2 linked regions of the Saccharomyces cerevisiae S288C genome follow. The protein of the gene in region 1 interacts with the protein of each later gene in a biochemical or structural test. Each region holds a gene or a part of one and is shown in the gene's direction. Other genes may lie near its edges.

Region 1 (5,747 bases):
AGGTACAAGGTACTCATCGAAGGATAGACGTGTTCTACGACCTGTGGAATAAAAATTTCGATAAGATAGTGACATCACCTGAGAAAGTGCAGAATTTTCAACTGCCGAACTGGTCTAAATACCCAACGATATTGAAATTCATCTGCACAGAACTTCACGACAACAGTTTGAAGACCTTGGGTGAGTTTAAGCAATTCTATGGAAAGGTGCGATCTAACGAGGTAAAAAAACTGTTGGGTCTTTGGCTGTACGACCATTCCTTCCTTTTCCCCCATAATATCTACGACAACAGAACCGAAGAAGATTTTTACGATATATTAATTAATGACTCCATGCAGGATAACAGGATATTCCAGAAATACTCTTCAATTGTAATGAATCCCTACAACGAACGTACTCAACTTTTTTTCCCTAATGTAAATTCTCCATCTGTCAACAAGCCAGTACCGAGCATATCTCTGGAAACATACACACGACTACTCAAGGGATATATCAACTTGCAAGAAACAGGCTGCAAATACGACTATAATGACAATATATTCAAACTAATCAGCATCCTCAAACTAAATTGTTTCCTACAACGCAACAAGAAGAAACACGCAGGGCCAACCGTCAGAATCCTACTGCCGAGAGATGAAGACCGCTCTCAAATACTTGGTACCATTTCGCAGGCAGAGAAGAGAACCTGTTATCAAATTCTAAGCAAAAATAGGGACGTGGTTGCGCTGCTGAAACGCATTTCTGATATCCAGGCGGACTCTTCTTAATAAAACATGTAAATATGTACCTCCCAAATCACACTCATCATCTCATACGAAACTGTATCTTTTTGGGTAAAATTTTCATCGATGAGCTTTAAAAGCAAAACTACTTCACCAGCAATGAAGCTACTGTAGCATCCTATGATCTCTTCGGCTCTACACATCATATTACTAGCCTAGTCAACATGAAGTTCTTAACCACCAACTTCCTAAAGTGCTCCGTTAAAGCCTGTGACACCAGCAACGACAACTTCCCCCTACAGTACGACGGCAGCAAATGCCAATTGGTACAGGATGAATCTATCGAGTTCAATCCAGAATTCCTTCTGAACATAGTCGACCGCGTAGACTGGCCTGCAGTGCTCACGGTTGCTGCCGAATTGGGAAACAACGCCTTACCTCCTACCAAACCATCCTTCCCATCTTCGATCCAGGAGCTCACCGATGACGACATGGCCATCCTTAATGACTTGCATACTTTACTGCTACAGACGTCCATTGCCGAAGGTGAAATGAAGTGTAGGAACTGCGGACATATCTATTACATCAAGAACGGCATTCCAAACTTGCTGTTACCTCCACACCTGGTATAAATCAAGCGAGATCTCTGTGTGTGGGCACGCAAGACGAAAAGACAACTATATACACAGCTATATATGTAGTAGTAGCCTCATATACGTATGGCATCAAACATGTAGCATAAACAACCTAAAAGGAAAACAAAGACTGAGATCTAACCCACCACAGTTTCTATTTGAGCCTTCCCGTCGCGCGTGATTTGGAGATACAGATTCTAAGAGCTTTAAAGAACGAGATACTCTCCTGTTTTAAGGACTCACCGGCATATAAGGCAGCAAAGTCGCCGGTTTGAAGGTTCAGGGGCCTTGAAGGTAGTATCATTTGGAAAACAGCAAGAGAATATGGCTGGACACCATCACGAACATGAACAAGAGCGCGACCACGAGCAAGAACACGAACACGATTCCCTTCAACGGCCTACTACTGGATCAGAAAGGACTAGAAGTATATCCTTTTCGAAGTTGCTTACGCGGTCATGGAAAAGGAATGCGAGTTCATCGAACAACATGAGTGTGTCTAGCGTGAATCTGTATTCGGATCCAGAGAACTCGAGAGAATCAGATCACAATAATAGTGGCTCAGAGGGCCAGTCTTCACGATTTTCTAAATTGAAAAGTATGTTCCAATCCGGCAATAGCAGCAAAAATGCCAGTGCCCATAACAGCAGCCAAAGCAGTCTTGAAGGTGACTCGGCGTCATCTTCATCTAAGTTAAGATACGTTAAACCAATGACTTCTGTTGCCAATGCTTCTCCGGCATCTCCACCACTTTCTCCCACGATCCCGGAAACGGATGTTCTTCAAACACCAAAGATGGTACATATAGATCAACATGAACATGAGCGTGAACACTCGAATTGCGGGTCTCCAATAATGCTTTCATCATCCTCTTTCAGTCCTACTGTTGCCAGGACTGGGACGGGTAGGAGAAGATCACCGTCTACTCCGATAATGCCCAGTCAGAACTCGAATAACTCTAGTAGCACCTCTGCTATCAGACCAAATAATTATCGTCACCATTCAGGATCTCAGGGGTTTTCTTCCAACAATCCATTCAGAGAAAGGGCAGGTACGGTACGCAGTAGTAACCCATATTTTGCATACCAAGGTCTACCAACTCATGCCATGTCTTCTCACGACCTCGATGAAGGATTCCAACCATATGCAAATGGCAGCGGCATTCACTTTTTGTCCACCCCCACCTCGAAGACAAATTCTTTGACAAACACCAAAAATTTAAGTAATTTATCACTAAACGAGATTAAGGAAAATGAAGAAGTGCAAGAATTCAATAACGAGGATTTCTTCTTTCACGATATTCCGAAAGATTTATCGCTCAAAGATACGCTGAATGGCTCACCCAGTAGAGGTAGTTCCAAGAGCCCCACGATTACTCAAACGTTCCCTTCAATCATTGTCGGATTTGACAATGAGTACGAGGAAGATAACAACAATGATAAACATGATGAAAAGGAAGAACAACAAACGACAACCGACAATAAAACGAGAAATCTTTCACCTACCAAACAAAATGGTAAAGCTACCCATCCAAGGATAAAAATACCTTTAAGAAGAGCAGCTTCAGAACCAAACGGGTTGCAACTCGCATCTGCCACATCGCCGACATCTTCTTCAGCAAGGAAAACATCAGGGTCCAGTAATATAAACGACAAAATCCCAGGCCAATCAGTGCCTCCTCCAAACTCATTTTTCCCTCAAGAACCCTCTCCAAAGATTTCTGATTTTCCAGAACCTAGGAGGTCCCGACGTTTGAGAACTAAATCTTTCAGCAATAAATTTCAAGATATCATGGTGGGACCACAGTCTTTTGAGAAAATAAGATTGCTGGGCCAAGGTGATGTAGGTAAAGTTTTCTTAGTAAGAGAGAAAAAGACGAATAGAGTGTATGCTTTGAAAGTCTTGAGTAAAGACGAAATGATAAAAAGAAATAAAATCAAACGTGTTCTGACAGAACAAGAGATTCTTGCCACCAGCAATCATCCCTTCATCGTCACACTATACCATTCGTTCCAATCTGAAGACTATTTGTATCTCTGTATGGAATACTGTATGGGCGGGGAGTTTTTCAGAGCTTTACAAACAAGGAAAACCAAATGTATATGTGAAGACGATGCCAGGTTTTATGCCAGTGAAGTGACAGCAGCACTAGAATATTTACATCTGTTGGGTTTTATCTATAGAGATTTAAAACCAGAGAATATTTTGCTGCATCAATCAGGCCATATCATGCTTTCTGACTTCGACTTGTCTATTCAGGCTAAAGATTCCAAGGTTCCTGTTGTCAAGGGTTCCGCTCAATCAACCCTTGTTGATACCAAAATATGCTCAGATGGGTTTAGAACCAATTCCTTTGTCGGAACTGAAGAATATATTGCCCCTGAAGTCATAAGAGGTAATGGCCACACCGCTGCGGTCGATTGGTGGACGCTAGGGATTTTGATCTATGAAATGTTATTTGGTTTCACTCCATTCAAAGGCGATAACACAAATGAAACTTTTACGAATATTTTGAAAAATGAGGTCAGTTTTCCCAATAACAATGAAATCTCCAGAACTTGTAAGGATTTGATCAAAAAATTACTGACAAAAAATGAATCTAAAAGACTGGGTTGCAAAATGGGCGCTGCCGACGTGAAGAAACACCCCTTTTTCAAGAAAGTCCAATGGTCTTTGCTGAGAAATCAAGAACCGCCTCTGATACCAGTGTTATCTGAGGATGGATATGATTTTGCTAAATTATCATCTAATAAGAAGAGACAGACTAGTCAAGACAGCCATAAACATCTCGATGAGCAAGAGAAAAATATGTTTGAAGAACGAGTTGAATACGACGATGAAGTCTCTGAAGATGATCCATTCCATGACTTCAATTCAATGAGTTTGATGGAACAGGATAACAATTCAATGATTTATGGTAATACCAATTCTTATGGGAAAATTGCATACACTCCAAACTCCAACAGATCGAGGAGTAATAGTCATCGAACCTTTTTTAAGAGATAAAGGGGGCTTTGACGTATAAGTGTCGGTATTTTTTTTTTTTTTATTGATTTTTTTTTCACTCTTATTTTTTCCCTCATTTATTCATCATACATTTAACGAACTCTATTTCTTTTCAAAATCCTTATCTACCTATTTTTTTTTCTTTATTTTCTTTCCTCTGTCAGTTAGTCAGTAGTGTGTAACTTAAATAAATCATATATCGGTGTTTCAATTTCTAGCATTCTGTGTAAACATCAGATGAAGCATTGCCTTTCTTTTCAATGAACTCTATGTAGTTTTTTCGATTTGCTTGCGTACTATTTTTCACGCGATAGTTGAAGAAACGATAGAAGGATGGCGCAATATACAAGTTAAAAGCAAATAGATATCTAATCAATAGTTAACATCTAGAATAAAGTGCTGGAACTTAGATTTTTTTGTGCAATATGGGACTGATATTAAGGTGGAAAGAGAAAAAACAGTTGTCTAGTAAGCAAAATGCTCAAAAATCCAGGAAACCGGCAAACACATCGTTTAGACAACAGCGCCTCAAAGCCTGGCAGCCCATCTTGTCGCCACAGAGCGTACTGCCGTTGCTTATTTTGATGGCATGCGTCTTCGCACCCATTGGTATAGGGCTGGTGGTCAGCACGATAAGTGTCCAAAGACTAGTGGTAAACTACACAGAATGTGATGCATTGGCACCGGCGAAGCATTTTGAAACGATTCCCTCCGAGTACGTGGACTACCACTTCAGTAAGAAAGTCGCAGTCCAACCTCAATGGATGGTACTTACGGATCCTGAATTAGGCAATCAAACTTGTCGAATACAGTTCGAAGTTCCAAATCATATCAAGAAATCTACTTATGTTTATTACCGCCTAACAAATTTCAATCAAAACTATAGAGAATATGTGCAATCTCTTGACCTAGACCAATTAAAAGGAAAAGCATTGATCGGAAATGATCTGGATCCAAACTGTGACCCTTTAAGGACGGTAGAAAATAAGACCATATTCCCCTGTGGATTGATAGCAAATTCGATGTTCAATGATACATTCGGCACAACACTTACTGGTGTAAACGATACTGCAGATTATTTGCTTACCACAAAAGGTATTGCGTGGGACACCGACAGCCACAGATATGGAAAGACCGAATACAATGCATCCGATATCGTACCGCCCCCAAATTGGGCCAAGTTATTTCCCAATGGCTACACTGACGATAACATTCCAGACCTACAAAACTGGGAACAGTTCAAAATATGGATGAGAACTGCTGCATTGCCCAACTTCTATAAGCTAGCAATGAAAAATGAGACCAATGGGTTAGGTAAGGGTATTTACATTGCTGATATAGAACTCAACTACCCAGTAAGATCTTTCTATGGAACAAAATCTTT
Region 2 (7,784 bases), on another chromosome or scaffold:
ACCACCACCTAATATCTGGCTTTTTATTCAATAAAAACTCAAAAAAAAAAATCCAAAAAAAACTAAAAAACCAATAAAAATAAAATGGCTGATATTACTGATAAGACAGCTGAACAATTGGAAAACTTGAATATTCAAGATGACCAAAAGCAAGCCGCCACTGGTTCAGAAAGCCAATCTGTTGAAAACTCTTCTGCATCATTATATGTTGGTGACTTAGAACCTTCTGTTTCCGAAGCCCACTTATATGATATCTTCTCTCCAATCGGTTCAGTCTCCTCCATTCGTGTCTGTCGTGATGCCATCACTAAGACCTCTTTGGGCTATGCTTATGTTAACTTTAACGACCATGAAGCCGGCAGAAAAGCAATTGAGCAATTGAACTACACTCCAATCAAGGGTAGATTATGCCGTATTATGTGGTCTCAACGTGACCCATCATTGAGAAAGAAGGGTTCTGGTAACATCTTTATCAAGAACTTGCACCCTGATATTGACAACAAGGCTTTGTATGACACTTTCTCTGTGTTTGGTGACATCTTGTCCAGCAAGATTGCCACCGACGAAAACGGAAAATCCAAGGGTTTTGGGTTTGTTCACTTCGAAGAAGAAGGTGCTGCCAAGGAAGCTATTGATGCTTTGAATGGTATGCTGTTGAACGGTCAAGAAATTTATGTTGCTCCTCACTTGTCCAGAAAGGAACGTGACTCTCAATTGGAAGAGACTAAGGCACATTACACTAACCTTTATGTGAAAAACATCAACTCCGAAACTACTGACGAACAATTCCAAGAATTGTTTGCCAAATTTGGTCCAATTGTTTCTGCCTCTTTGGAAAAGGATGCTGATGGAAAATTGAAGGGTTTCGGGTTTGTTAACTACGAAAAGCATGAAGACGCTGTGAAAGCTGTTGAAGCTTTGAATGACTCTGAACTAAATGGAGAAAAGTTATACGTTGGTCGTGCCCAAAAGAAGAATGAACGTATGCATGTCTTGAAGAAGCAATACGAAGCTTACAGATTGGAAAAAATGGCCAAGTACCAAGGTGTTAATTTGTTTGTTAAGAACTTAGATGACAGCGTTGATGACGAAAAGTTGGAAGAAGAATTTGCTCCATATGGTACTATCACTTCTGCAAAGGTTATGAGAACCGAAAACGGTAAGTCTAAGGGTTTTGGTTTTGTTTGTTTCTCAACTCCAGAGGAAGCTACTAAGGCCATTACAGAAAAGAACCAACAAATTGTTGCTGGTAAGCCATTATACGTTGCCATTGCTCAAAGAAAAGACGTAAGACGTTCTCAATTGGCTCAACAAATCCAAGCCAGAAATCAAATGAGATACCAGCAAGCTACTGCTGCCGCTGCCGCCGCCGCTGCCGGTATGCCAGGTCAATTCATGCCTCCAATGTTCTATGGTGTTATGCCACCAAGAGGTGTTCCATTCAACGGTCCAAACCCACAACAAATGAACCCAATGGGCGGTATGCCAAAGAACGGCATGCCACCTCAATTTAGAAATGGTCCGGTTTACGGCGTCCCCCCACAAGGTGGTTTCCCAAGAAATGCCAACGATAACAACCAATTTTATCAACAAAAGCAAAGACAAGCTTTGGGTGAACAATTATACAAGAAGGTTTCTGCTAAGACTTCAAATGAAGAAGCAGCTGGTAAAATTACTGGTATGATTTTGGATTTGCCACCTCAAGAGGTCTTCCCATTGTTGGAAAGTGATGAATTGTTCGAACAACACTACAAAGAAGCTTCTGCTGCCTATGAGTCTTTCAAAAAGGAGCAAGAACAACAAACTGAGCAAGCTTAATGCTCTATGTAATCACCTACTTCCCTACTCAACAAACTTATCATCTTTTTTTTCTCCCTTCCCTTTTTTTTTTGTCTTAAATACTAGTTATTATCCTTTGTAACCTAAATACTCGCTCTTATTGACAAAATGCAAACGTTTTTTGTTTTTAACTGTCAAGAGAAGTATCATTTTACTATTATTAGACTTCATTACTGAGTTTATTAGTTGCGTTTTTTTGAGGTCTCATTATTAACGGCAGAATGTTAGTTTTCGCGGAAAATAAACAAAATAGCACGGAAAAAAGACCAACAGGTTCCAGGAAAATACTAATTTACAAAAAATTGACAAATCAAGTGAGGGTACCTTGCTATTCATCACCGCATTCAACTAACTGGAGGTACAAAGCTGATAAAATTTCACAGAGCAAAGTCTCACTTAGCTTTTACTTTATGAAATTTGACCTTTAATAACCGAAGGTCATCGTAATACGCAACTCAGACAGTTTTAAGTGGATTTTTAGGGTCGCAATTAAAAACACTCAAAAATTAACCGGAGGTTGAGCAAGGGAAAGCAACCGTAACAGAAATCCTTTATTTCCTCCTGGAAGTGAAATAAAAACGCAGTTAACTTTAAAAAGGAAAGTTAGTTGATAATTATGTCTGGAACTTTTCATGGCGATGGGCATGCTCCCATGTCGCCCTTTGAAGATACATTTCAATTTGAAGATAATAGCAGTAATGAAGATACACATATTGCACCTACCCATTTTGATGATGGTGCAACAAGCAACAAATACAGCCGGCCACAGGTCAGCTTCAATGATGAAACACCCAAAAATAAACGTGAAGATGCAGAAGAATTCACATTTAACGATGACACAGAATATGACAATCATTCCTTTCAGCCAACACCGAAACTTAATAATGGATCTGGGACGTTTGATGATGTGGAATTAGACAATGATAGTGGTGAACCGCACACTAACTACGATGGTATGAAAAGATTCCGGATGGGTACAAAAAGGAATAAAAAAGGAAACCCAATAATGGGAAGATCTAAGACCTTGAAATGGGCTAGGAAGAACATTCCAAACCCATTTGAAGACTTTACGAAGGATGATATTGACCCTGGTGCCATAAATCGTGCGCAAGAACTAAGGACTGTGTATTACAATATGCCCTTACCAAAAGATATGATAGATGAAGAAGGCAACCCCATTATGCAGTATCCTCGTAATAAAATCAGAACTACCAAATATACCCCGTTAACATTCTTACCAAAAAACATTCTATTTCAGTTTCATAATTTCGCCAACGTTTATTTCTTAGTTTTAATAATTTTAGGTGCATTTCAAATTTTTGGTGTCACGAACCCTGGTTTAAGTGCGGTTCCGTTAGTTGTCATTGTTATAATCACTGCGATCAAGGATGCTATTGAAGACTCAAGAAGAACCGTCCTAGATTTAGAGGTGAATAATACCAAGACACATATTTTAGAAGGTGTTGAGAACGAAAATGTCTCAACCGATAATATTTCATTGTGGAGAAGGTTTAAGAAAGCAAACTCTAGACTCCTTTTCAAGTTTATACAATATTGTAAAGAACATTTAACTGAAGAGGGCAAAAAGAAGAGAATGCAGAGAAAGCGTCATGAACTAAGAGTACAAAAAACTGTTGGAACGAGTGGACCCAGATCCTCTCTAGACTCCATTGACAGTTACAGAGTATCTGCAGATTATGGCCGTCCTTCATTGGATTATGATAATTTGGAACAAGGGGCCGGTGAAGCCAATATAGTTGATAGATCCCTACCACCCAGAACTGATTGTAAATTTGCCAAGAATTATTGGAAAGGTGTCAAGGTTGGTGATATTGTTCGTATCCATAACAATGATGAAATCCCTGCTGACATTATCTTACTTTCAACGTCGGATACAGATGGTGCCTGCTACGTAGAAACTAAAAATTTGGATGGTGAAACAAACTTAAAGGTACGCCAATCCTTGAAGTGTACCAATACTATAAGAACGTCAAAAGATATTGCTAGAACAAAATTCTGGATCGAAAGTGAAGGGCCCCACTCAAATTTGTACACTTATCAAGGTAATATGAAATGGAGAAATCTTGCAGATGGCGAGATACGAAATGAGCCAATTACTATTAATAACGTTCTGCTTCGTGGTTGCACTCTTAGAAATACTAAGTGGGCAATGGGTGTTGTAATGTTTACCGGTGGTGACACAAAAATCATGTTAAACTCTGGCATTACACCCACCAAGAAGTCCAGGATTTCAAGAGAACTAAACTTCTCTGTGGTGATAAATTTCGTGCTACTTTTCATCTTATGTTTTGTTTCTGGTATTGCAAATGGTGTATATTACGACAAAAAAGGCAGATCACGGTTTTCCTATGAATTTGGAACAATTGCTGGGTCAGCGGCGACAAACGGTTTCGTCTCATTTTGGGTTGCTGTTATTCTTTACCAATCTTTAGTCCCAATCTCTTTGTACATTTCTGTGGAGATCATCAAAACTGCACAAGCGGCCTTCATTTACGGAGACGTTTTACTCTACAATGCCAAATTGGATTATCCTTGTACACCAAAATCCTGGAATATTTCTGACGATTTAGGTCAAGTGGAATATATATTTTCTGATAAAACAGGTACATTAACTCAAAATGTAATGGAGTTTAAAAAATGTACTATCAATGGTGTTTCATATGGAAGAGCTTACACCGAAGCGTTAGCGGGATTAAGAAAAAGACAAGGTATCGACGTCGAAACCGAAGGTAGGCGTGAGAAGGCCGAAATTGCCAAGGATAGGGATACAATGATCGATGAACTGAGAGCTTTATCAGGAAATTCACAATTTTATCCCGAAGAAGTTACCTTTGTATCAAAGGAGTTCGTTCGCGATTTGAAAGGGGCTAGTGGTGAAGTACAACAAAGATGCTGTGAGCACTTTATGTTAGCATTAGCTTTATGTCACTCCGTCCTTGTAGAAGCAAACCCGGACAATCCAAAAAAACTGGATTTAAAAGCTCAATCTCCAGACGAAGCAGCGTTAGTAGCCACAGCTAGAGATGTAGGATTCAGTTTTGTTGGAAAAACCAAAAAAGGGTTGATAATTGAAATGCAAGGTATTCAAAAAGAATTTGAGATTCTAAATATTTTGGAGTTTAATTCATCGAGAAAAAGAATGTCCTGTATTGTCAAAATTCCGGGTCTGAACCCAGGGGACGAGCCTAGAGCACTTTTAATTTGTAAAGGTGCAGATTCCATTATATACTCAAGATTAAGTCGCCAGAGTGGTAGCAATAGTGAAGCTATTTTGGAAAAAACTGCTTTGCATTTAGAGCAGTACGCTACTGAAGGTTTAAGAACGTTATGCATAGCTCAAAGGGAGTTAAGTTGGTCTGAATACGAAAAATGGAACGAAAAGTACGATATTGCTGCTGCATCATTAGCAAACAGAGAGGATGAATTAGAAGTTGTTGCAGATTCCATTGAACGCGAATTGATATTATTGGGCGGTACAGCTATCGAAGATCGTTTACAAGATGGTGTTCCGGATTGTATAGAGTTGCTTGCAGAGGCAGGAATTAAATTATGGGTTCTTACGGGTGATAAAGTTGAAACAGCTATAAACATTGGATTTTCTTGCAACCTTTTGAATAATGAAATGGAATTGTTAGTTATTAAAACAACTGGTGATGACGTGAAAGAATTCGGATCAGAACCAAGTGAAATTGTGGATGCTTTACTCTCCAAATACTTGAAGGAGTATTTCAACTTAACCGGTTCAGAAGAAGAGATTTTTGAAGCTAAAAAGGATCACGAATTTCCGAAGGGTAATTACGCCATCGTTATCGATGGTGATGCTTTGAAATTGGCGCTATATGGTGAAGATATAAGAAGAAAGTTTCTTTTACTCTGCAAGAATTGTAGAGCTGTCTTATGCTGTAGAGTATCTCCATCTCAAAAAGCAGCCGTTGTTAAGTTAGTCAAGGATTCTCTAGATGTCATGACACTAGCCATCGGCGATGGTTCCAACGACGTCGCCATGATTCAATCTGCGGATGTTGGTATTGGTATTGCCGGTGAAGAAGGTCGACAAGCTGTTATGTGCTCAGACTACGCCATTGGACAATTCAGATATTTGGCTAGATTGGTCCTCGTTCACGGTAGGTGGTCTTATAAGAGACTGGCAGAAATGATTCCTGAGTTTTTTTACAAAAACATGATTTTTGCTTTGGCATTGTTCTGGTATGGTATCTATAATGATTTTGATGGGTCTTACCTGTATGAATACACATACATGATGTTCTATAATTTGGCATTTACATCCCTACCAGTCATCTTCTTAGGTATTCTGGACCAGGACGTGAATGACACAATATCATTAGTGGTCCCTCAGTTATACCGTGTTGGAATTTTAAGGAAAGAATGGAACCAAAGAAAGTTCTTATGGTATATGTTGGACGGATTATATCAGTCTATTATCTGTTTTTTTTTCCCTTACTTGGTTTATCACAAAAATATGATAGTTACGAGCAATGGGTTAGGATTGGATCATCGTTATTTTGTCGGTGTTTATGTGACCACTATTGCTGTAATTTCGTGTAACACATATGTTTTATTACACCAATATAGATGGGATTGGTTTAGTGGATTATTCATTGCACTGTCTTGCCTCGTAGTTTTTGCATGGACGGGAATATGGTCTTCTGCGATAGCTAGTAGAGAATTTTTCAAAGCTGCAGCGCGTATCTATGGAGCACCTTCATTTTGGGCTGTTTTCTTTGTTGCCGTGCTGTTCTGCTTACTGCCCCGTTTCACATATGACAGTTTTCAAAAATTTTTCTACCCAACTGATGTGGAAATAGTAAGAGAGATGTGGCAACATGGCCATTTCGATCATTATCCTCCTGGTTACGATCCAACAGATCCCAACAGACCCAAGGTCACAAAAGCTGGGCAACACGGAGAGAAGATTATAGAAGGCATAGCACTTTCCGACAACTTAGGAGGATCGAACTATTCAAGGGATAGTGTTGTCACAGAGGAGATTCCAATGACTTTCATGCACGGTGAAGATGGAAGTCCTAGCGGATATCAGAAGCAAGAAACCTGGATGACTTCACCCAAGGAAACACAAGATCTTCTTCAATCGCCCCAATTTCAGCAGGCCCAAACGTTCGGAAGAGGCCCATCAACCAACGTCAGGTCATCCTTGGACCGCACAAGAGAACAGATGATCGCCACTAACCAACTAGATAACCGCTACTCTGTGGAAAGAGCGAGAACATCTCTAGATCTACCAGGCGTAACTAACGCAGCCTCCTTAATCGGAACACAACAGAACAATTAATAATGATATCCGAACCATAGCTGATGGAACTCCGCTTTTCACTGTATATATAATATTACATAATATTACTGGATAAGCCTTAGAAGCCTTAGAAGCCTTAGAAGCCTTGGAATTCATGCATACTACAGCGTTAACTCTTTCTTTTAGCAAGTTTTAGTAGCGGACGTGTGGGTTTCTTTGTTCTATAATTAACACTCCCGGTTAACCCGGATCGCTATTATTCAAGGACGCACAATGGTGGGCTAATTTTTTCTTCCGATGGAAAACTGACGCCAGCACTTTCCAGCGCTGGGAACTCTCCACTAACTGGCAAAAAAATTGATTAAGGTCATGATCAAAGGAATTTTTGAAATGTTGTAAAGTAGAGTTAAGAATTAATCAAGCCGTGATACGTATGTTTTTGACTAGGTGAGAGACTATATTTATCAAAAATAGTTTTTTATACTAACAGAAAGTTTATTATATCATAGAAATCCTAGGCCTATTGTTATTATTTGCGTGAAAAAAGGTTCATGCCTAGTTATTCAGGATATTAATCAGGCATAGTCATAGTTTTGTAATACACGTCTTTCACTCCTATTTCCGGTTAACATTCGCTAATATCCATCAAATT

The links. The genes of interacting proteins can lie anywhere in the genome.
Region 2: of the proteins of FPK1 (region 1) and DNF1, one has a biochemical effect on the other in vitro, tested with the Saccharomyces cerevisiae proteins (one study listed by BioGRID).

Annotation. Positions count from the first base shown.
Region 1 is NC_001146.8:706,842-712,588, forward strand, and holds FPK1 (serine/threonine protein kinase FPK1), read left to right. Parts: upstream 1-1,681; coding exon 1,682-4,363; downstream 4,364-5,747. Other genes in the region: PET494 (Pet494p), read left to right, coding at 1-767; RNA methylation protein TRM112, read left to right, coding at 947-1,354; YNR048W (putative aminophospholipid translocase regulatory protein), read left to right, coding at 4,789-5,747. UniProt on the Saccharomyces cerevisiae protein: Flippase activator that phosphorylates DNF1 and DNF2 and which is involved in the generation of phospholipid asymmetry in membranes by the inward translocation of phospholipids and in the retrieval pathway from early endosomes to the trans-Golgi network (TGN).
Region 2 is NC_001137.3:510,289-518,072, forward strand, and holds DNF1 (aminophospholipid-translocating P4-type ATPase DNF1), read left to right. Parts: upstream 1-2,455; coding exon 2,456-7,171; downstream 7,172-7,784. Other genes in the region: PAB1 (polyadenylate-binding protein), read left to right, coding at 85-1,818. UniProt on the Saccharomyces cerevisiae protein: Catalytic component of a P4-ATPase flippase complex which catalyzes the hydrolysis of ATP coupled to the transport of glucosylceramide, phosphatidylcholine, phosphatidylethanolamine, and small amounts of phosphatidylserine from the lumenal to the cytosolic leaflet of the cell membrane and ensures the maintenance of asymmetric distribution of phospholipids.